Tamandua tetradactyla: one gene and its partners. The protein of the gene in region 1 purifies or fractionates together with the protein of each later gene. This does not show direct contact. Links are inferred from orthologs where the notes say so. Each region holds a gene or a part of one and is shown on either strand. Other genes may lie near its edges.

Region 1 (7,850 bases):
TATGGCCTGGGTGTCAAGAGTTTTAAAAGCACCCCAGGTGATGCTAATGTGCAGCCAAGTTTGAGAACTATTGTACACTCCTTTTATATCCACTAGGATGCCTGGCATAGGACTAAACACGAGTCATCCCAGTTCGCTGAAGGATTATAAAACTTTCCACATCACCAATAAACTTGGGTTCTTGGGATAATAGTTGTTGAAAGAAAGAAAGTGGGTTTTCTAAGAGATGTTCAGAAGATTTGAATGTCAGGAGAAAAACTGGTGAGAGATTTGTGAACCTTCACCGACTGATGGTAACTGAAGCCATGGGAGTGGCTGTCAAAGTGACTATTCAAGTGATAAGATGAGAGATAAAAAGAAATTTTGAGATAACAAGGAAAGTATAGTTACAGAAATAGTTTGAGGTGAAAAGGAAGGAAGGTGAGGGGATTTATGCCAAAGTAGATCAGAGTTATGCAACCTGGTTCAAGATCTACAGCCTCACCAGGGCTTCCTGCCCTCGTGGATCTCCCAGGCACTTCAGGTCTGGCAGTACTTTATACTCTGTACCGTGCCATACGCCCCTTTTATATCCACCAGGATCCCTGGCATAGGACTAAACCCAAGTAATCCCGGTTCACTGAAGGATTATATGATTTCAATCTTTTTAAATTTATTGAGACTTGCTTTGTGACCCAGCATATGGTCTATCCCTGAGAATGATCCATGAGCACTTGAGAGAAAGGTATATCCTCGCTGAAGGATTATAAAAACGACTTTCTACATCACCAGTAAACTTGGGTTCTTGGGAGAAATTGTTTGCCAGTTGGTTTCTCCTCATTAAAATGGGAGAGAGTTTTTCTGGAGAGGAAACTCTTAGCTGAGAGTTCCATGTGGCACTATCAGCCAACCTTTGTTTGGTTAGCTGTCCCCCTACAATTCTTTTTACTTTCCATTCCTTTAGGTCTTTTTCCTGTAAATTCATAGAAAAACTGTTAGGGTGTTGTCAGTAACTGGACCCTTGGAAAACAGTACCATCACCCCTGCCCCACTCTTGCCTGCTCCGCCCCCGGGCAGTTAATGGGAGAAAGGAACAACTCTGTCACTCTTGGCTTCCAGTTGCTCATCTTGCTCTTGAACTGCAGGCCTCTGGGGCTGAAAGAAACTGGACAAAGTGTGCTGTGTAGCTTAATAGGGCTGGTTCCTTTTCTGAAAGTTCCCTATTGCGGAAAAACAAAATTATGTGTTTAATTTCTGAAACCCGATGCCTGATTTGCCTTGGCGGCCATTCTCCCAGCTTGGCCAAGAGTCCAGCAACTCTAGCGTACTGATTAATACAAGCTCAACTTGCTCCCTGGAGAAGAAGAGCATATTTACTTGACCATTTTCTTAAACCCTTTTTAAATTTGCATGTCTTTTAGTATGATCTTATTAGCTCTAACATGCTGTATCTGTAACCACTAGTCCCAGTGAAAGCTCAGGGAAGACTGTTTTGCTCTATGCACTCACATTCCCATCACAAAGTGAGATTTTGTTCAACCCAGTGATTAGGAACAACGTGACATATGTTCCATTCCTTCTGGGATGGGTGAGTTCTAAGTGTACTTTTGTCCCCTGCTGGTCCTCCTCAGGCTACTAGAAAAGGAAAGAGAGGAGACACCTCCCAGAATTCAAATAGAGCTCTCTGCATTATCCCTTCCTTCCAACCTGAGTCCCCTTTGAACTGTGACTCCCTTGACCCATTTTGCTCCTCCCCTGGGTAATATTAGACCACCATTCTCCAAGGGGACACAAAGGCCTGAGGAAAGGTTGGGCCTCAGACAGTCCCTGACAGGGAAATGTAAACACAGCTGTGGAAATGGGAGTACAGCAAACCAGCTCCCTCCCCCAGCTCCCACCCAGAAGCAGGGAACATCCACCCTGCCTTGAGGCAACAAACAACAAAACAAAGCAAAGCAAAGCAAAGCACAACCTAAAAGCCTACAAGAAGGTCACCAGGAACTGGGGCTGCTGCCCAGCCCTTGGTGGGGTCAGCTCAAGTGCCAGACCCCTCCCTGAACACTTAGAGGCACAGCGAGGCAAAAGCAGCTCCAAAGCAAGTTGAGGTCTGGACGTTGCTGAGCCTGGAAATATTGCTCAATTTTGAAGCCTCTCCACTCCTGGACACTTTATCCTCTGATCTCAAAAATCCAGTTTTCCACCCTAGGTACTTAGCTTCTGGCCTCTAGGTGCTTCAGGATTATAATAATGTGTTTAACTCAGCAAGTAAGAACAGGCCTAAAATAAACCCTTGTCCATGGCTGCTACAAATTTAAACTCTGAGCCTCCAAGACAAAATATCAGAGAGGGCCTTCCTTAGCTTTTGTTAATTACAAAAAGGGGCTTGCTCTTTTAGGGATTACTTGGGTGGAATTCATGCCTTGATTTGCACATACTCTAAAAGTTCCAACCCCATAGCTAGAGTGATACTCCCATGCTCACTCCCTCCAAATGGTTAAGGCAGCCCCTTGATCCCACAGGACACACCTTTGGCATGGCCTGCCTGGGAAGTAGTCTTGATTGGGCGGACAACTAATGAGCTGTGCTTCCTTTCTGGCCATCAGGGTCTTCAACTGTAAAAACAAAAAGGCAGAACTAGAAAAATATAATAATAATAGCCTTCATATACTGAACACCAATTTTACACCTGGCACTATGCTAAATGCCTTGCACATCATCTCATTTCACCTGAAACTGATAACGTTCTTATCCCCACTTTACAGCTGAGGAAACTAGGGCTTAAAGAGATTCTGGGATTTGTTCAAAGTCATTCAGTTGGTTAGTGATGTGGCCGGGATTTGGGCCCAGTTATTCTGACCCCCAAACCCATGCCCTGAACCGCTTCATTATACCTCTTCCTTTCTCTGACGTCTTCCAGCCCTGACATTATGATTCTGGATTCTCCCCGTGGCTCTTTGCTCCCACCAGTGGCAACAGCAAGAGAAATATCTTTGCAACTCTAGTCTGTAAGTCCAGAGGAAAACAGTTCCTGAAAGTCAAGGGGCTCCTTATTTCCCCTGTATTGAAGATGCCAATCAAAGCTGGACACTCAACAGACCCCCATATCAGCAGGGTACAGCCTGTGTGGAAAACAAACAAATCATAACCAGACAGGAAAGGGGAGGTCCCCTTGGTTCATGACTTCCTCTCCTCTCTTTCCTGGCTTATCAGCAGGGCCCCACACTGCTGATGCTATGACCCCTTTCAATCTTACTGTGGCTAGAATGGGGCTCTTGCCCTTTTGGAACAAGAGAAGTAGCCACTTTACCCACAAATACATCTACAGATTACATTCATGGTACCGTAGGTAAAGGAACAAAAATAAGTTATATTTATTTATACATTGAACACGTTGCATTAAGCATTCCCATAATCACTGGACATTGCACTGGTGTGTACCTATATCACCTTGTGTAATCCTTGTGAGATACCTGGGAGGTAAGTATTGTTTTTCACATTTTACAGAAAAGGACATTGAGGCTCAGAGAGATTGACAATATTGTCTATTGCCACATGGCTGTAACAGAACTGTAATTCGAACTCAGGCTAGTTCTGCCTGACTCCAAGGTCTACATTTTCTTCAATAAAAGGAGTGTTGTATAATGAAAAGAACAAAATTATGAAACTGAAGAGATTCCAGAATATCTTGGAAATATAGTTGTCATTATGTGTAACACAAAATCACAGTAATTACCATTATCAGCATGTTTACTGGTACCAGGCCCTGTGCCAAGTGCTTTATATCTACTATCTCTACTTCTCAGTGAGATATAGGCTGTGAACCCCATTGTTCTGATAAGGAAACAAACTCAGAGGAATTAAGTAATTTGTGCAAGGTCACATACAACTAAACAAGTGATGGAGCTGGGATTCAAAACCAGGTCTACCTGACTGCAAAGTGCATGCTCATAATCAATAAAGCAATAGAAATAATAAAAATAAGCATTGACTGACTGTGAGCCAAATGCTAAGTCTTTATATTTTATAACTTAGTTAATTGAATATTATAATCCCTATTTTACAGAACAGGAAAATACTGCCTTTTATGATATTACTTAAGCGCACATGACAAGCAACATACATGCTAAACATACAGGCTATTAGTATCACATTTGCTTAACATGTATTGAATCCTTATTATGATCTAGAAAATTGCTTATTTCATAATAACATGGTTCCATTTCATCGGCCATCTAATGTACTAAGGTCTTAGGAGAAAGTATGGGAAAAGACACTGTAGATAAAGCAAGCATTGTCAAGAGAGGGGTAGTATTCTGTTGCATGAGAAGCCCTGTCTGGTTGACCTTCTGGCCAGGCTTCTCATCCCTTCCTATCTGATCTTACCTAGCAGCTTGGCTTCCATGAGGTATCAAGGAACTTAGCCTAGTGCTTAGGCTTCAGCATCAAGCAGACCTGGATTCAAATCCAGACTCTGCCACTACTAGTTGCAGGACCTTGGACAGGTTACTTACTCTTTCTGAGCCTCAGTTTCTGTAAAATGAGCTGCTGTGATACCTAATTTAATAGAGTTGTGAGTTTTATGTGAGATAATCTGTGTGAAGCACTGAACATACTGCCTGGCATCCTCAGGGCTTGGTTAATGAGCATTATTATGCCATGTTATACAACATCCTAAGATGGTGGGAGAGGGTAAGAGGGCTCCTGGGGATGGTTTCATAGGATAACCACAGGGAACACAGCCCTTCCTGAGGATTGGGGGGAGGGTGAAAACAATTCTGGCATTGGGCATTGGGCTCTTACAGCAACCATGATTCAGCCCCAGGTGCCGAGGGACCAGCCATGTTCTCGGCACTGCTGGGTGTGTTCTGTGGTCACTTGGCCACGGTCCTCTTCAGTCATGCTGTCTGAACGTCCTTCTTATGAATTCATTCAGAGTTCTTTTCAGAAAAACAGCCCCTACCATATGATGTCATGGTCCAGCCTGAGTCAGGGAAGGAGGGGGAAGGAGAATAAGTGTACTTGGTTGGGTGAAGCAGGATCTTCTCACTCTTTATCCTCCCCTCCTTTCAACATCCAGTAAGAATCAATCATCTGAGCAGGAGTGGGGGGGGAGGGAGATGATATATCATAATAGTTAAGGCCTGAACCTTAATGTTCCAGTCCGAAAGGATTTGTGTACCCTAGAAAAACCTTGTTTTAATCCTAATCAATCTTGTGAGAGCAACGATTTCTTCTAATCCCTATTTAGTACTACAGGTTGTAAACTTGGTTAGGTTATCTTCACAGAGGTGTGACTCCATTGTGGGTATTAAACTTGAGTAGATGGAGATGTGTCTTCACCCATTCTAGTGGGTCTAGATTAGTTTGTGGGAGTCCTATAAAAGAGGAGACAGTTTGGAAAGAGTTCATTTTGAGAATGAGGAGAGAGCTGCAGAACGATAACAGAAGGACGAGAGACCACAGAGTCCACCAGCCAGTGACCTTTACAGATGAAAAAGGAAAACACCTCCCAGGGAGCTTCATAAAGTAAGCGGCCTGGAGAGAAAGCTAGCAGATACACCATCGTGTTTGCCATGTGCCCTTCCAACCGAGAAAGAAATGCTGAACATCATCAGTCTTCTTGAACCAAGGTATCTTTGCCTGGATGCCTTAGGTTGGACATTTCTATAGACTTGTTTTGATTCGGACAATTTCACAGTCTTAGAACTGTAAACTAGCAACTTATTAAATCCCCCTTTTAAAAGCCATTCCGTTTCTGGTATATTGCATTCTGGCAGCTAGCAAACTAGAACACTTAGTATTGAGCAGTCCTGGATTCAAATCCTGACTCTGACAATGATAAGCTCTGGGACCTTGGGCAAAGCATTTAAACTCTCTGATCCTGTTTCCCCATTTTACTCATGAACAGGATAGTTCTGATCCTATGGGGTAGGGCTTTAAGAAATGCATACAAAGCACCTGGCACATGTGTCAGAGAACACACTATGAAGACATAGTTAGGTGAGCATTCAATAAATGGCAGTTACTATTCAGTCCCCAGCGGTTGACGAGGAATACATTTTCTCTGCTTCTTTCTAACTCAGGGACAAATTTTTGTTTAATAACAATTCTCTTTAGGAGGTAATCAAGTTCATCTCATTCTGTAGCTGAGGAACCTGGGGAGAGATTGAGTAGTTGTGTCTCTACCCCTTTGCTTTCCCTCCTTTAGCCAGCTGCCTCCCTGGCTTGCAGCTTCTCAGGTCCTCCCTGCTTCCTTTGATCCCTCTGAAGAATCAGACTCTTCTCAGGAGGGACTTCTAGCTTCTCTGACCCTCTCCCTCACATCTTCTCTGGCGCTCTACTCTTCATTTTGCAGACAGTTTGGACAGAGGCCAGCATGTGTGAATGTCTCTACATGGTAAAGATGCTACTTTCAGGGTGCATATAATTTGCATGGTGTAGGGGGCCCCCAGTGCCTTTTACTCTCTTCTATGTTGTTCTGGATTTAGTGGTTGCATCACCTCTCCCCTGCTCCAGGCAGGAAAGCCCTTGGCAGATAATAAGAAGGGAATTTTTTTACATGTCAGTAAATTCCAGAAGGAATCAATCTAGGTTGGGTCCGGAAATCGCTAGACAATGACCAGCTGGACCGGAATCTGATCCTTTTCTTCCCAGGCACTGGCGGGGAGGAGGGGGGCAGATAGAAGAAAAAATATCTGCCCACTGGATATTAGAAAAAAGAGACTAAAAACAATATTATGCTATGTTAAAAGGAAAGAGGCACATTTATGTATAGTAACATGGAAAGATATGCAAGACCTATTAAGTTTAAAAGTCATTGACAAATAGGTACATTAAATCCCATTTATGTTGTTTTTAATCTAAAATATGTGGGGAGGTAAGTGAGACAGGGTGGAGTTATAGTTTTCTATGTTATGTAAATATTTTACAATTAGTACATACTTATATTTTACCTGTAATGAAAAAAAATTTTTTTATAGCGAAAGCAGAAGTGGGCTAAAAGAGAAGTTAAAGGCCCCCAAGGATGGCTGGAAAGAGGGGGCTTTCCATGATAAAAACAGCCTCAGACCCTGAAAAATCCCTTCCCTGTCTCATATCTGTAGATCATGTGACTATCTCCTATGGCAACTTGGAACAGGAAGGTAAAGTCTCCAGTCTCCTGTTAAGCACTAAGGGGCCCCTATAGCAGACCCTCAGTTACCAAGATGTCCAGCAGTCAATGAAAATATCCACCAGATATTAAATAGGGAAAGGGGGAAAATCAGTAGATTCTCCAATGGGAGGATCTGGACTTCTAAGTTCAGGAATGGTTACATAAGCTCTTCTTTGTAGGTCATTACATTACCATACAAACTTAAACCCAACCCTAAGTTAAACATAACACTTCCTACTGAGTCATCTACATTTCCCTTTTTATTCTACGGCAATTTTATATGTGAAAATGTTGAGGTCCAGAGATATAAAGTGACCTGTCCAAGGTTACACAGTAAGACAGGGGCAGAACCTGGCCTCAGAATCCTAACCATTTTAGGATATTTTAGCCCATTATACCATATTGCCCTATTTCAAACCCAGCATTTGCTTTTGACAACTTCAGTCTTGTCCCGTCCTTAGTCCTAACCCATAGTGGGCTCAGGGGCTTCTGGACCCAGCCCAGTGAAAAAGTCTGGATTTGCTTTCTGTCCCTTGTTGTGCCCTCCTCCCATCTTATAACCCAGGAATCTCCCTCTCAACCATAGCTTCTTCTTGAAAAGGGTACTCGCGGATATTCTGAGAGAAAAGATAGCATTTGGTGTCCAGTCGAAAGTGGCTCTGAAAGAAAGGTGACTCTTCTGCATCACTGCAGGAGATGACCCTTAAAGGTTAACACC
Region 2 (6,859 bases), on another chromosome or scaffold:
AGAATTATGGATTCTTTCCAAATTAAAACAACTCTGGGGGGAGAGGGGGGACCTTCAGAGGCAAGAAGAGGACATTTCAGAATTAAGTTCAAGACCAGCAACCAGGTTCACTACTTATATAAAGCTCTTTCATCCAAGTGATTAATTTAATACCCTGAAACTGTATATAAAAATTACCACAAAATTTTGAAATCTCTAATATTTAAGCATTCTTTAAGAAAAGACAAGTATGCTTAGTTATCTACGTTTTAACCACCTGAAACCATTACTCCTTACTTTGAAGGATGTAAAAATTAGATTTTCAAAGAAATTATCTATTAAATGTCAAATGAAACCAAAATTCATCCTTTCTGAAATATTACATGGCCAACAAACTGTCTCCTTAGGAGATGTAATGGAAAGAAATTAACGCAACAAACAAAATCTGACATACACAACTTGCTACTTAAGGTGAATTATTCAGTGTCTTGTTAAATTGAAATAACAGGGGACTTGAGAACCTTTGTTAACTCCCAAGCTGAATTGTTTTGAGTAAGACACAACTCAACTTGTTTCATCATCTATTAAATGGAAGTCAAAATAATATCCTGTACTAAAGCTGAAACATTTAAACTGTGCAGTATTAGGCAAATGTGGATGTTTATGTGTGTGTTTATGTGTGTGTATGAATATTCAGTAAATACAAGGAACTGCGATAGATGCTGACTGTATAACCTAACATCAACTTCTAGTGGTAGCAGTGAAGAATATAACAAAATGATAAACAGCACGTAATTCACTATGCAGTTCACAAATAATCTGTAATTTTCTTGAGAACATTCTTCTTCCTGCCTAGGTACGAACAATTTTTCTAACATTCATAGTCTATTTTACTCCATCCAAACTGTTTTAACTAGACAAAGTAAACGTGGAACAGAATCTAATGCTAGATTTCCAAAATATTCAGACCTTTGTATTCCTTGTAACACTGAAGATAGTTTTACTTTTGTTCATCAAAATTCCTGCAAAAAAAACTTTAGAATACTTAAACTCTTAAATCAAAATCAATACTGATTGTTAAAAATCCTACTGCTCCTCAAAATATTAGATGATTAAAATAAATGCTAATATACTTTAGAAATATAATATGCATGATGCATATAATTCTTTTGTTTAAAAGTACATTAAAAACCAGTTAATTAAAACATTAAGTTCTCCAAAGGGATCAGTGTAATGATTGTGAACGGAAACATACTATTACAATATTTTTATCAAATCTGAAAATACTGGATGCATTTTTAATCAGTCTCCACTTTATTCCTAGCAAGTTTTAGAAAATGATACTCATTTCTTCATAGGCCTCTCCCATACATGACTTTTAATATCATCTAAAATCGTGACTCTCACTTCGAAGCATTACTTTTTAAAGATTTTAAACGACACACTAGTATGTTGAACCTTCGACACTGTATTATCATTACTACTTTTTGACGCCCGTTATTTTAAAAAACAGCAATTCATTATTCTTTCCACGATAATTTACACGCGTTTTAAACTTCCAGATTTGACCACAAAACAGAAAAGATTATTAAAATCATGTCAGAAATCACATTAATGACTGCAAATGAGGAATTTGGAAAGCTTTGATTAAATATAAAAGCACAATCTTCCTTTTTTATTTTTTTTTTCTTTAAGTAGAGAAAAGCGATAATTGGGGTCTCCTTCCTGGACAAGGAAGTTATGTTAAATCCAGGCGAGACCAGCCATGTTGGAAGACACTTGTCAATTATAGTTCTGACAAGTGTTCACGAGGACGGTTGAATGAAGCTAACCTTATGTACCAAGGTGTACATCAAAGCCTCCTCGTGCTCCACCAGGAGATCGGGGACCTATTTGGGGATTGTTTCCAAGTTAGAGCTCCCCTTAGGTCCATAAGAAGCACAGAGCCTAGAGGGAAGAGGGCGGGGAAAGGAGAGTTGGAGAAAAATGGTCTGAGAGTTAGAAGCCGCTATCCGCTGCGAAAGGGGCGCGGCGGTCGGAGATCTCGGAGTTGAGAGCCTGGGGGAGGCGCCGAAGGTTCAGGGAACACGGGGGTCTCAGCAGAAAGTCCCCTAAAGGGGTCCAGGAGTGCAAGAGGGCATAGGGAAGGGGAGACGGTTCGGTGCACTGACCTGTCCTCCGAGTCCATGCGGCTTAGGGGCTCCCCATCCGAAGACATTTCTAAGCTGCCTCGCCGGCCCCCGGAGGTCGCGCTGCTTCCGCCTCCCCCGGTCCCGTAACCCTCGTCGCCGCCGCTGGAGACTACACTGCTGCTGCTGCTGCCGCCGCCCCCACCGCCACCCTGGCTACCCCGCGGTCCCTTGGGCTCCTCCAGGCCCTCCTTGCCATCGCCATCCCCGCTGCTGCTGCTGGCAGCGCCGGGGCTCAGGGACCGGGTCTCGTCGCTACTGCTCCCGCCACTGCTGCCCACCAGGCTCTCGGCGCTACTCTCCTCCTCGCCCCCGCCACTGCTGCTGCTCTCGTCCTCCTCATCGTCCTCCTCTTCGTCCTCGTCCTCCCCGGCCTGGCTGGCGCTCTCGGGGCTAGGCTCCGACATCGTCTCCGCCTCGCCGCCCCCCACTCCGCCGCCGCCACCCCCACCGCCGCCGCCGTTCAGCAGCAGTGCAGCCACCGCCTCGGCCTCCGCCTCCTCTTCTTCCTCCTCCTCTTCCTCCTCCTCTTCAGGGGGCTCAGCCCGACCTCGCGCCGCGCCGAGGCTGCCAGGGGGCAGAGGGCTCAGGCGGGAGAGCTCCTCCAGGTCGGCCATGTCGGTGATAGCGGCGGCCATGGCGGCGCCTGTTACTCCTCCTCCTCCTCCTCCTCGCCGCCGCCGCTGCCGCCTTCTCGCTGTCTCTACTCTCGCTCCCTCGCCCCCTCCCAAACGCCCAAAACTCCGCCGAAGCCGCGGCAGAGCAGGAGGAGGGCCCGCGAGCTGCGTCAGCTTGCACACGCGCTACGGAGCCCGCGCGGGGACAGGCGCGCGACTACGCGCACTCACGCGGAGACAGTTGCGCGCCTGCGCGGAGCATGAGGTGCCGCCTCCCCAGTCCGCAGGTTCCGCGCCCGCGCCCCAGCTCCCGCTCGGTGCCGTCAGAGTTTCCTAGGGGTCCTCCCACGCGCTCTCGGGCAGCGCGGCGAGCGCAACACAAGAAACTGAAACCCCAACGCTGACCGGGGATTTTAACAACCCTCCGAATTCGCACGAGAAAGTCATTTGTTTCGGCGGTATTTGGGGAGTGTCCGCTGCGTACTGGCGCTGAGCCTGGGATGGAATAAGTTCCTGGCCTTAAGAGAGGTTATGATCTCCAAGGAGAGGCGATTAAAAGGAACCAAATTAAATCATACAAGTTACTAAGTCCATATGTGCAACATAGAGCCACAGGTTTAAATCTAACCTGTTTGAATAGTTGTAATGATGGTGAAATCATAACCTCAGAGTATCCATCCTTTGGGTGAGAAGTCTTCAAACGTTGTAAGTCATGAGCCCCTTAATTTTGTAAAACTATGTACAGTCTTAAACGTAGATGGCACCTACGGTTTTTTTCCAGCGTGTTATAAGTACTGGCTTTAAAATGTAACTGTCACCCTTTTTAAATGTAGGCAATTCCAATACCATAGGGATTTAATACCCGCCAAATCCACTCTTTTAGAATACGTGAACAATCTCTTCTTTTACACAGAAATTGTCAATCTTTCCTTTATCTTTTGGAACTTTTATTTGTATTAAACTTCCCCTCCAGTATTTTATCCCAATAAAACATTTTGTCTTTTATTGATCCTATCACTCTTAACGTATAACAAAAATGTGCATACAAACTGAAATTTAAGGGTTTTTTTTTTAATTTTACTGACCATAAGATTCTAAGTGTTATTACAACTAGTCAAAACACATATGGTAAATTTTTGTAAGTATTAAACACAAAAGTAAAACCTGGAGGAGACCATTCTTACAGCAATGGAGTTAGATAGGTTTTTGTTTCAACAAGTTTAATCAGTGGCTGAATATTACTAGAAAAATAAGGAGTTCAGCGTTAATTCTATTCCAAGTTTTCAATTCCGTGGATGTAGACACCGAGGAAACTTGTTCACAACAATAAGTAGATGCGAATGAATGGACTTCTGTGAATAATAGCAATGTCACTCAAATCTTTGAACTCCTTCCAAATTATATGCCAAAAAATCATAGAGATTTAACAACAACAAAATACTTTCAATGATCTTTCAGCTGACAACTCTGATTAGGTTTTCCTTCAACTCTGCTGTGTGTAACTGAAAACCACCTGATTTGTAATGGATGTGCTCCTCATTCTCACTCACCCACAGTATTTCCACTTGCCCCTTCATTGGTGTTCTGGAGGTTTTTGCATCCTGGAGGGTTTTTTTGCCCTTTTAGTAAAATTTTGGGAGATTTTTGGCCCTTAAGATTTGAGGTGAGTGTGCATCATGCTTTCATTTCTTTTGTTTGGGAGAAAGGCAATTGGAATAAGGGAGGGTAGTCTGCACTGCACCCTGAACCCAGGGCACATTTTCAAGCAGATCAATTTTAAGGACACCTGTCTAAGGGAGATGAGTATCAGACAACCTATTGCCTTAAAATAGAGTCTGTGCTCATACACATACGGGAAAGTCTTCATATACCGTGAGTACCCCAGTATTATGTCTCATGCTCAGGTTTTGGACATCAGTTACATGCGATGTTGTCTCAAGAGAAAACAAAATAAAATTAGTATGAAAGCATTATAGTTCCTTCACTACAGTACTCCATTTTTACCTCAAAGCCATTTTTTGATAATACACCCTTATTGAAAATGAAGAACTAAACAGAGCGTATTCACTCAAAACTGTTTACTGAGTGTAATCACCAAGCTCTCTGTTAAGTACTAGAGACCTTTGGCTGAGTTCATCAAGGAAACTTCGTGAAGAATGTAAGATTTAAACAGAAGTGTAGAAAGTAAGGTAGATGATAGCTACATGTAAATTTAAATAATTTGAGCTGGATCTTGAAGAGTAAATAAAATATAATTGTGCGGGGGGGAATTCTAAGACAGAAGCAATAGCATAGAAAAGCATAAAAGTTTATTTGAGACAGGGTTAATCAATCATGAGAAAGCAATGCTTTTGCAGGTCTTGAATTAAGAGTTTTGATGCTGAAAAATAACGAGTATATTCTGAGGTATCTTAAGAAAGGTGTGAGTACAGCTATGTAGTAAGGCCATATCTAATGTATAGGGGATATGGAGGGACTGAAAAAAAAGTGAATGGAGATTTACACATGGAAATGACAGTAATCAAAGCCACAAATGAGTGCTCCAGCTACAATATTTATACTTTAAGATGAAATTGGGTTTTTTGGAGAAAATAATGAGTTTTCCACTACTGCAGAGTTGTTTTTTTTTCCGGGGGGTGGTGTTTATTTTGTTTTTGGTTTTGTTTGTTTTTTGTTATTTTAATAGCAAGTTTTCTAAAAAGTTTAAATAATTGTATAATAAGCTCACCCATACACCTATCTAGATTCATCAGTTACTGCAATTTGCCATATGTGCACCCTCTCTACTTCCCTCTCTCCCCCTCCCTCTGCCTCCCTCTATCCCTCTCTCCCAGTTTCCCTCTCAGGTTTATCGGCTTCAGTTGCAGACGTCACTACTCTGCATGCGTCTCCTAAAAACAAGATCTTTCTCCACATTACCACAGTGTATCGGTGTCATTAAACTCTCGAAATTTAAATCGTTGTTTTAATAGATTCTGCACCTCCATTGATAGAGTTTCTTTAGGCAGCATCAGCTGAGAGGTTGGAAGAGACAGCGGAAAGCGTGGCTGCTTCCACAAACACAACACAAAGCCTTCCTTACCTGAATGCGACCGCAAAAATACCGAAATGAACGTTTCCAAACTTTGTTAACAACCCGACAGAGTAATTCTGTTTTACGTCTGCTGAACCTAATAATAAAAATCAATCCTTTTTGTTTATGTCAACTGTTGTTTTTTTTTTTTTAATTTCATTATTCTGGCCATTCATTTTCACTGTACTTTACACAAGTAGCAGTCCTTTGCAAATTAAAAAGAAAGACAAAAAACTGTTCACAAATTGAGAATCACTGTTCTACAGTTCGCTTCAGCTCAGACAGTATGTGACCCTATAAATAATTACAAATTGCCCAATAATACTGCATAAAAGCTAATTGATTACAAATATTATTCAAACTCATCAATTATAGTATTAATGAGGTCGCATTAACAAAAATAACTCAAATATCATTATCTTTTGTGCCTACCAAGCCTACTTACATAGTCAGGACATCAGCTTCCAGCAGAGTACACCAAAAAAATATTTCTGAGAGCCCTCTTCACTGTTCTAGACACTGCAAACTCCTACCAGGAGCTTTTGCATGTGATACAAACAGCCCAAGCCATGGTGTCGTCTGAAGAAATGGAGACGTTCGTGTTGACCTTTGCTAGGGGAACCCCAAAGCAAACTGCTTATGCCCAGTATTATACACTGTTTCAGTGAAACAGCTCTTTATGTTTTTTATTCAGAAGTCTGTCTCTCTAAGGGACCCAGACATGCTTTCATGGGCCTAGAATGGCGACAGATTTGAGTAGCAGCTACCCCACGCTGTATTTATTACTCCCCATCCAATGAGTAAGTCTTTCTTATAGGGCTTCTCTGTCTAATTCTTTCTTCCACGAAAATGAGTTCTGTTCCAGGAAGCAGCCTCAGCCCCCATGTAAGCAAGTTTCTTTCAGTCCTGTCTCACCAGTTTGCCAGACATGCCCAGACATGCTTGAACCCCAGCAACAGATCCAGTTTACATTCAAGCCGAGATTCCTGCTACACTGCATG
Region 3 (7,564 bases), on another chromosome or scaffold:
CACTGCCCCTTACCTCCCCTAGGAGCAAACTGTCCCAATTCTCAGAGGTGAAGGGGAGGATCTCACGATCGAAATCAAAATATTTCTTCTTACAGCATACACTAAGGTGATAGAGGACAAGATGGGCCACATCCACCCTGGAGAAACATGGGGTTGTAAGGTCAGAGAAACATCACAAAAGCCAGGGAATTCTGGGATGGTAGGTGGGAGCATGTAGGGTAAAAAGACTCCAGGTTTGAGAGAAGCTCATGCCCAGCTCAGCTTACCAGCGAAGCTGTAGCCTCCTGACCTTCTCAGGGCCCCCCCGACACACACAGCATTCAAACTCATAGAACCTGGATGGGGGCAAAAGAGTGAGAATATACTTTATGCTGGAAAAGATAACATCCTATACAGAGAACTCACCAGCAAAGATAGGGCCAACAGGTAAAGTGACAATGTAGTGGTTGGGAAGGGATGGGAGGGGAGGAGGATATGGTGGAGCTGAGAAGTTGGAACAGGAAGCAAGGCAGGCTGTCAGCTCCTGGAGGATCTGTCCTGGTCTCACCTGTCCCCATAGAGGAGGGGCTTGCTCAGACACTGGGTACAGGCCTCATGGAACCACTGCAGGCAGCTCCGGCACTGCAACATTTTCAGGTTCCACCTATGGAGGAATGTGGGACACTGGCCTCCGAATATCTCCCCATAACTGCCCCATACCCTGCCCATCACATACCCCCCCATCCCACTCGGCATTCCCCTCAATCCATTTTCATGCTCTTGATCAGCCCCCCACCCCAAACCCATATCACTCATTCCTTAGCCCTCTACCCTTACTTACTCCCCAGGGCCACCACAGTAACAGTAGCTCTGCTGCCTGTTGCTCAGATGTCCAGCGTCCCAGTCCAGCCCCTTAAGTCCATATGGCAGAGAGAGCTTCATGCTCAGCATGGCCCGGGCATAGGGACCCTTCTTCAGGGCACCCCCCCTCTGCAAATAGAGAACAGGTAGGTGGCCTCAAAGGGGCAGAGAGAGGAGAGGTAGGGGGCTCCCAATGAAAAGCATTTCAGCAGTGGTAATGAGAGGTGCCTTTTACCTTGGTGGCGATGGCGAAGACGCACTGGCGGCAGACCCAGGGAGATGTGCCCTCTCCCTCTCCAGGGGCTGGGGCCCTTGGAACATGACAGTCCTGGTGATAAGCTGAGTAATAATAATGTTGATAGTAAATCAGTTATTGTATTACATACCTATGTGTGCTAGCACTGGGGTAGGAATAGCCTTATCCATCTCATTTAATCCTTGACCATGGTCCTGCTGGGATGGGATGTATTATCTTTATTTTATAGGCAAGGGAGCTAAAACCCCTAGGTGTTAAGAGGGGACTTGACCAAGTTAACATGGCTAGAAGACAGTGTATGTGAACCACACACTGCCTGCAAGGCTCCCCCTCCCCCACCCCCTACCCCCTTTCCATGACTCCTTTTCCCCAGGCTGGAAGAAGGCAAGGTTATGGGGTTGAAGAGACTGGCCAAAGTGGTGGCCTGGGGATCCAGGCCAGACCAGGTGGTATGAAAATAGATGGGGGAAAGGCCAGAGGCAGCCTGGAAGGCCCATGTTTCTTACCATGGCGACACTTCTCACAGCTGACCAGCCCGTTCCCAGGGACCACAGTCTCAGAGCGACAGACACAACAGAGGAGTTCCTCCCCAGGGAGGGCAGCTGTGGGGGAACATGGTGTCAGGGGGCCTGCCCATAAGCCCCCTTTTGCCCCCCGAAGTCAGGTTTCAGTTTTCAGTGGGATATATATATACTCAGGCCGCTAGGGTCTCACCAGGGCTAATGTCCTTCCATAAAACCAGAAACTGGGAATCATCCTCAAACTGGACCAGACAGACCTCCCGAGCACTGTCTACCTAAAATGGGTAAGTTCAGAGGATGAGATGGGAGTCAGGATTAAAGGGAATGGGAAGAAGGTGACAGGTCAGAGGTCAAAGGGCTTACTTTCTTGATGGTCCCCAAGTAAAGCAGCCCATCAGTCCATCTGGCCAGCACATCCTGACCTTCCCAAAGTCGGGGCCTGGGGCCTGAGGTGGGAGCAGGGGAAGCTGGGTCCCAAAGTTGGGGGGGACCAGAGCGGCTCAACCGGGGGGGCTGCGCCATTGCATTCTGGGGGGCCTAGCCAGAAATGAGATAGAGAAGAGAAGGTTATGAAAGCTGAGATATTCAGCAGCTACCCACCCACCCCCATCCTCCATTCTCCAAATCCCTAAGATATTTGGATATGAAACCACTCAGCACCTTTTACTAGCTTCTTGACTCCAGCTTTCCCAACTCTGGTGCCTGACTCCTATCCCTGATAACCCACCCCCACCCCCCAATTCTCTAGTTTTCCAGCTTCCTGAGCTCCCCTGGGATATTATAACCTGGCCTTGAAATGTTAGCTGAAACGATGGTTGCAGAAGCAAAGACTATCACTCAGCTTCTACTGTCACATTCCGTTGCTATGTAGAGGTAAAATTGGGGTGCTCTGTTGCCCAGAGATGTGTTTGGGAGCTTTTCTGGAGATGTTGTCCAGAGTCTCTGAGAAACGGCTGCTTCCCCAGGCCGGCGCGTGTCTCATTCAGAACAATCACCCCAGTGCCAGGTTATGTCAGGTCACCCTCAAATTCGGGGATCCCAGCCTCCCCCCCCCCCCCCAGGTTAAATAACTTCCCTGAGTGCCCTGGGAGGGGGGCGTGTCCCAGTCCCAGTCTTTACTCCCCACGACGAGCGAGTCCGAGCGTGAGGCGACTTGAGCCGACGCAACCGGACCCGATGCCCAGGCAACGAGGGCTCGCCCACCCGCCCTGCGCACCGACCCCAGGCTCTGTGCACCGCCCCCCCCTCCACTGGCGTCTCCCGCCGCCTCCTTACCGGTGACAGCTGGGGGCGCCGGGAGCCGGGCAGGGGCAGCCGTGAGAGACCGAGGCGAGTCCTCCGCGCGGGGAGGGAACGTCCGGCCGTCGTGGGGCGTACAGGCAGAGACCGGGGGGTCCTCAGGCCCAGCCCCTCCGTCCCGGCGGCTCTGGGGCGTATGACGCAGCAGCCAAAGCAGCGGCAGCGGCAGGAGGAGGCGGCAGGGGGGAGGAGGGGAGGGACGGACCGACTGGGGGGGAGGGTGGTGGGAGGGGAGGACTGGGGGGAGGAGGAGCCGGGGGGGGCGGGCACCACCTCACCCCACCTCCCTCACCTTCAACAGGCCTGGAGGCGCAGAGCGCGCGGCGCTCTCTCCGCGGCTGGGGCGGGCGGACAGTCGAACTCGGAGGGAGAGGGAATCCCCACAGCCCCTTCCTCAGACGGGAGACCCGCCCTCGGGGCAGGAGGGAATCCCCCCTCCCGGCAGCCCGCCTTTGGGCTGGGCCCCCGCCCCATGCCACATCCGTTAGCTGCCCCCCACCACGTCAGTGGTCACTCGAAGTCCCGCCCCCCAGTCCCGCCCTCCATTCACCCTTCCCGTTGCCCCGCCACGCCCTCCTCCCACGAGTGCCCCGCCCTCCTCCCGCCGTTGCCCCCGGCCCCGCCCTCTCCGTGGCAAGTTATTTCCTCCCCGCCCACCGTGCTTTCGCGCATGCGTAGCCCCTCCCGCGCGCGGCACCTGGGAGGACTGGGCCAGCCCCTCCTGTACCGGGCGGCGGCCGTTGGTGCTTGGCGCGAGAGTCAGCGCGCTCCCGCTTCCCTTGTACGTAAAGCCTGGCACTTGGAGACCTTATACAAGGACGAGGCTGGCTAGCACCCAGGACGGTGACGTCACCGAGAGCCAGCCAATAGGCGGCGGGCGGGGTAGAATCCTGGCGATTCGAAAGGGAAGGCAGGGAAAGGCGGGAGGAAAGAGCCAGCGGTTTATGGGAGTGCGCGCTGGTCCCCTTTCCTGAGCTCGGGTCCCCATCATTCCACATACGCCAAAGGAACATTCCAGCCAGGGGGTGGGGTGTAAAGGCGAAACAACTAGTGACCGTTAAGACTGGATAGCTTAGTGGGCACATCTTTATGCGGACGCCCAAAGTGAGGAAGGTGTGGGGGAGATGACCAGGGTCCAGAACCGGAAGGGCCAAGGAGGAGATAAAGGGCAGGCTTCAGAACACAGGCTTAGCAGAGCAGACAGATCCACAGCTCCCATCTTTAGAGATATGAAAAATAGCTGCAAATAAGATTTCACTTTTAAAAAAAAAATGTTCTTTATTTAATAGGCCTAGATACAGAGCTTCCCCCCCCCCCCCCAGGCATCCCCAGCCACCCCTCCACCCAAACACACACAAACACACACAGGATCTGGCTCCGTCTTCATTTCCTGTTAGCCTGGGCGGTACCAATAACACACTGGTTCACCTGAGGGCAGGGGGGGGTAAATAGGCAGGATTAAAAAGTTTGCACAGTAACTAAAAGAACAGTTTTCCCAAAATCTGTTTTGATCCCCAATGCTAGAGCTGTTCTTGGGGAATAGTGAAATAGCAACTCTGAAAACAGGCTCAGGCTGGTTATAGTTAGTCCTCCTATACCCATTAGCCCTGGAGGAGGCGAAATGGCAAGAGAAGACTCCCCACAGCAAGATATAAGAGCAGAGGGAGAAACTTAACTTCCATTTCCAACAATATCATGACTTAAAAACCTTGAACCCCACGGAATTCCTAATAAGCTAGATAAAATATTAACAAAATCCATTTAGGAACCAGAATGCCTTGGAAAAGGGATGCTTTCAAATCTGGGGCAGGAAGTGTTCAAGATGAGTTTGGAACACAGACTATTGGGACCCTGTCTAAAGGACACAGGAACCAACTTGAAGGGGCCCCAACTGGCCAAAAATGGCACAAATGTGAACATCAGAAAAAAATAAAGACTGCAAAGGATTGATATACATCAAATATATAAATATCTACAAAATGATACCTCTAGATAAGAACTCACTGGTCACCTCTGGAATTTGCAAGGGTATCACTTCCATTATACTGAAAACTGATAATCTGTTACCTACCCTGCCTATATGGACTCAATCTTGGAGTAACTAAATGAAGGAAAATCATTTAGGAGAATCATAACTAGGGAATGCCAAATAACTGATAAAATTAGAAGAGCCTCCATTTAAAAATTCCCTAATGAAATACTGAATCTAGGCATGATCATCATTGTCTGATAAAATTAAGTGAAAAATGAGTTATGAAATGGATGGATCAGACTAACAACACCCAAATCCAATAATCAAATTTTTTGTCACTGAAAGTGGAACAGCTAAATTGTATCCTTCTGATACAATGCAATGTGTATTGTACCATCTACTGACTTTTCTTACCAAGAAATGGGAACCTGACTCAAATCTAATCAAGCTACAAGATAAACTGTATGAGGGATAAAGGAAGCAATCAATCAAAATCTAGAATACAATATGTTCCATAGGACAAATGACCCTATTTCTTCAACAAAGAAATGGCATAAAAGGAAGGGTGTTATATACTAGAAGAAACTTAAGAGACATTTCAACCAAATGGAACAGGTGGCCCTTGCTTGGATCCCATGTATCCTAATGTGAATAAACCTAATGAATAAAGGATATTTCTGAAACAACAGTGAAATTTAACATGAACTGGGTATTAGAGGACATTAAAGAGTTCATGTTGTTGGATGTTAACATTTAACTTTAATAAAAAGTTCAAAACAAGAACACCCTTTCAGTTGAACTTGTTAAAATACAGAATCAAAGCAGACCATGGCAGTGTGCAGGTGCTGAGGCCACTGGCTGCTCCACAGCAGCAAACCACCCCCTATGGTAGCACTGGGGAAAGCCCAAACACAGCAGAATGGCAGGCCTAATCAGAGACCTCAAATAAAGCCAGAACCCATCACAGGGCTATCCCCCCTGAAAAAAAAGGTTAAGCCAGAGAAAAACATTACTCCCCAGAGGCAGATAGTACAACTTTCTGACTTGGCTTAACTCAGGTGGAAGGTACACAAGTTTCCTCGAGCATCTGCGGCCAATGGCTGACCCTCATGGGTTCTGAAGCCTGAATTCACACTATTTCGAAGGATCTGGAAACTCCCTAAGTCTCCTTTGATCCAAAAGTCCCGTTTCTATGAATCTACCCTATAGACATAATTAAACAAATAGAAAATGACATATGGACAGTTAGTAAATGTCGCCTTGTCTGTAAGAGAAAAAGAGTGGATACAATCCCAGTTGTCCAGCAGAGGGAACTGGTGGATAAACGTTGGTGCATCCGCACAGTGGAGTGCTAGGCAGCCCTAAAAAGAATGGAAGAAAGGGATGATCTCTCTATGCTGCTGGAGAGTAGTCTTGGGGTTACATTATTAAACAAAACCCACAAGGTATAGAACCATATAGAGATGGGAGAGAGATTTTATATAAGGAAGGGGGTTAAGGAACATAGCTTAAATTTACAAATATATATATATATATATATCTATATATTGGAAGGATAAATAAGAAAATGACAAATGATAAAAATGATGACTTATACTAAATAAGCGGGAGAATGCGGTGGAAGCAAGACGTGATTATGCTATGTACAGCTTTCTATATAGTTTAAACCTTTTAATCACCTATTAAAAAAACTTTTAAAAAGGCCTAAAACCAATAGTTAAAAATAGATCCAGTTGGGTAGTACTGGAGATGCCAGACTGAAGCAAATGTAAATCCCTGCAAGATGAAAGTGCCCCCTGGCCCCACAGAACAGAAGGGCTAGGGATGAAGCAGCCTACAATTATCCAGGGGTCCTGACAGCCCCTGGGCTTAATGGTAATCGCACCTTGGAGGCAAAGCGCAGAGAGTTGAGGGTTTCAGAGATGTTCTCTTCTAGCGGGGAAATGTTCACGAACATGAGCCTGTAGAAAGAAGAAAGGGAGCCAAACTTCAGCATCAGCAGCTGGGTGGAACCTTGACCAGGTCCCCATTGTTTCTCTTTTCCCCACCCTGACCCAACGCATCCCAGTTCCTATCCCATCCCCTTCCATCGTCCCTTTCACTCACATCTTAGCGCTGCCGCCCAGAGAGTTCTGCAGCAGATAGGTGAGCTTGCTGTTTCGGTAGGGCACGTGGGACTCCTAGATGATTGAAAGGGGGCAGGTGGTTAGAATAGGGGAAGGTTCAGCATGGCCAGGCCCACCCAGCCTTCCTCTAAGTCCCAACTCCCCTTGCCCCACCCGAGGCCCACCACTCCCACCTTGTTGCTTAGGGCCATGATGACCAGCCCCAGCGTGGACAGGCTGCTGTTAATGGCCTGTGTTTCCCTAAGTCGTTCCCGCTCCCCTGGGCCAAGGGCTAAGCCGGGGTCTAGCCGCTCACTCCCAGCCAGGTCCACCAGGCTGAGGGGGGCCCCACACTGCAGGCCCCGGCCAGTGTGCTCCCCAGAGATCTGCAGCTGGAACACACTGTGGCTGCGTGATGACCGCTCATTCTGAGCTGTGCGGGCCACAGCCCGGTTCTGGTGGGCCAGATGGAGCAGGGCCTCTACCTAGGGAGGGTAGCAGCAAGGGGAAAAGGCAATATCAGGAATGGCAGTGAATGAGGGTCAGCCCCTGCCCTCTGAGGTTTTGCTTT

What was found.
Region 2: the proteins of EZH1 (region 1) and AEBP2 purify together in Homo sapiens (affinity purification with mass spectrometry; 3 studies listed by BioGRID and IntAct, with this or other methods). This does not show direct contact. The link is inferred for Tamandua tetradactyla from reciprocal best matches to the Homo sapiens genes EZH1 and AEBP2.
Region 3: the proteins of EZH1 (region 1) and PHF1 purify together in Homo sapiens (affinity purification with mass spectrometry; 5 studies listed by BioGRID and IntAct, with this or other methods). This does not show direct contact. The link is inferred for Tamandua tetradactyla from reciprocal best matches to the Homo sapiens genes EZH1 and PHF1.

Annotation. Positions count from the first base shown.
Region 1 is NC_135332.1:24,496,947-24,504,796, reverse strand, and holds the start of EZH1 (histone-lysine N-methyltransferase EZH1), read right to left. Parts: upstream 3,003-7,850; 5' UTR 2,871-3,002; intron 2,592-2,870; 5' UTR 2,506-2,591; intron 1-2,505.
Region 2 is NC_135333.1:82,026,992-82,033,850, reverse strand, and holds the start of AEBP2 (zinc finger protein AEBP2), read right to left. Parts: upstream 3,015-6,859; 5' UTR 2,807-3,014; coding exon 2,151-2,806; intron 1-2,150. UniProt on the Homo sapiens protein: Acts as an accessory subunit for the core Polycomb repressive complex 2 (PRC2), which mediates histone H3K27 (H3K27me3) trimethylation on chromatin leading to transcriptional repression of the affected target gene.
Region 3 is NC_135331.1:89,391,423-89,398,986, reverse strand, and holds the start of PHF1 (PHD finger protein 1), read right to left. Parts: upstream 3,015-7,564; 5' UTR 2,893-3,014; exon of another isoform or gene 2,816-2,892; intron 2,656-2,815; exon of another isoform or gene 2,366-2,655; intron 2,155-2,365; 5' UTR 2,140-2,154; coding exon 1,981-2,139; intron 1,902-1,980; exon of another isoform or gene 1,893-1,901; coding exon 1,811-1,892; intron 1,699-1,810; coding exon 1,603-1,698; intron 1,180-1,602; coding exon 1,076-1,179; intron 970-1,075; coding exon 821-969; intron 644-820; coding exon 548-643; intron 427-547; exon of another isoform or gene 336-426; coding exon 267-335; exon of another isoform or gene 168-266; intron 138-167; coding exon 14-137; intron 1-13. Other genes in the region: kinesin-like protein KIFC1, read right to left, coding at 4,300-4,344, 6,774-6,849, 6,995-7,068, 7,188-7,478. UniProt on the Homo sapiens protein: Polycomb group (PcG) that specifically binds histone H3 trimethylated at 'Lys-36' (H3K36me3) and recruits the PRC2 complex. Involved in DNA damage response and is recruited at double-strand breaks (DSBs).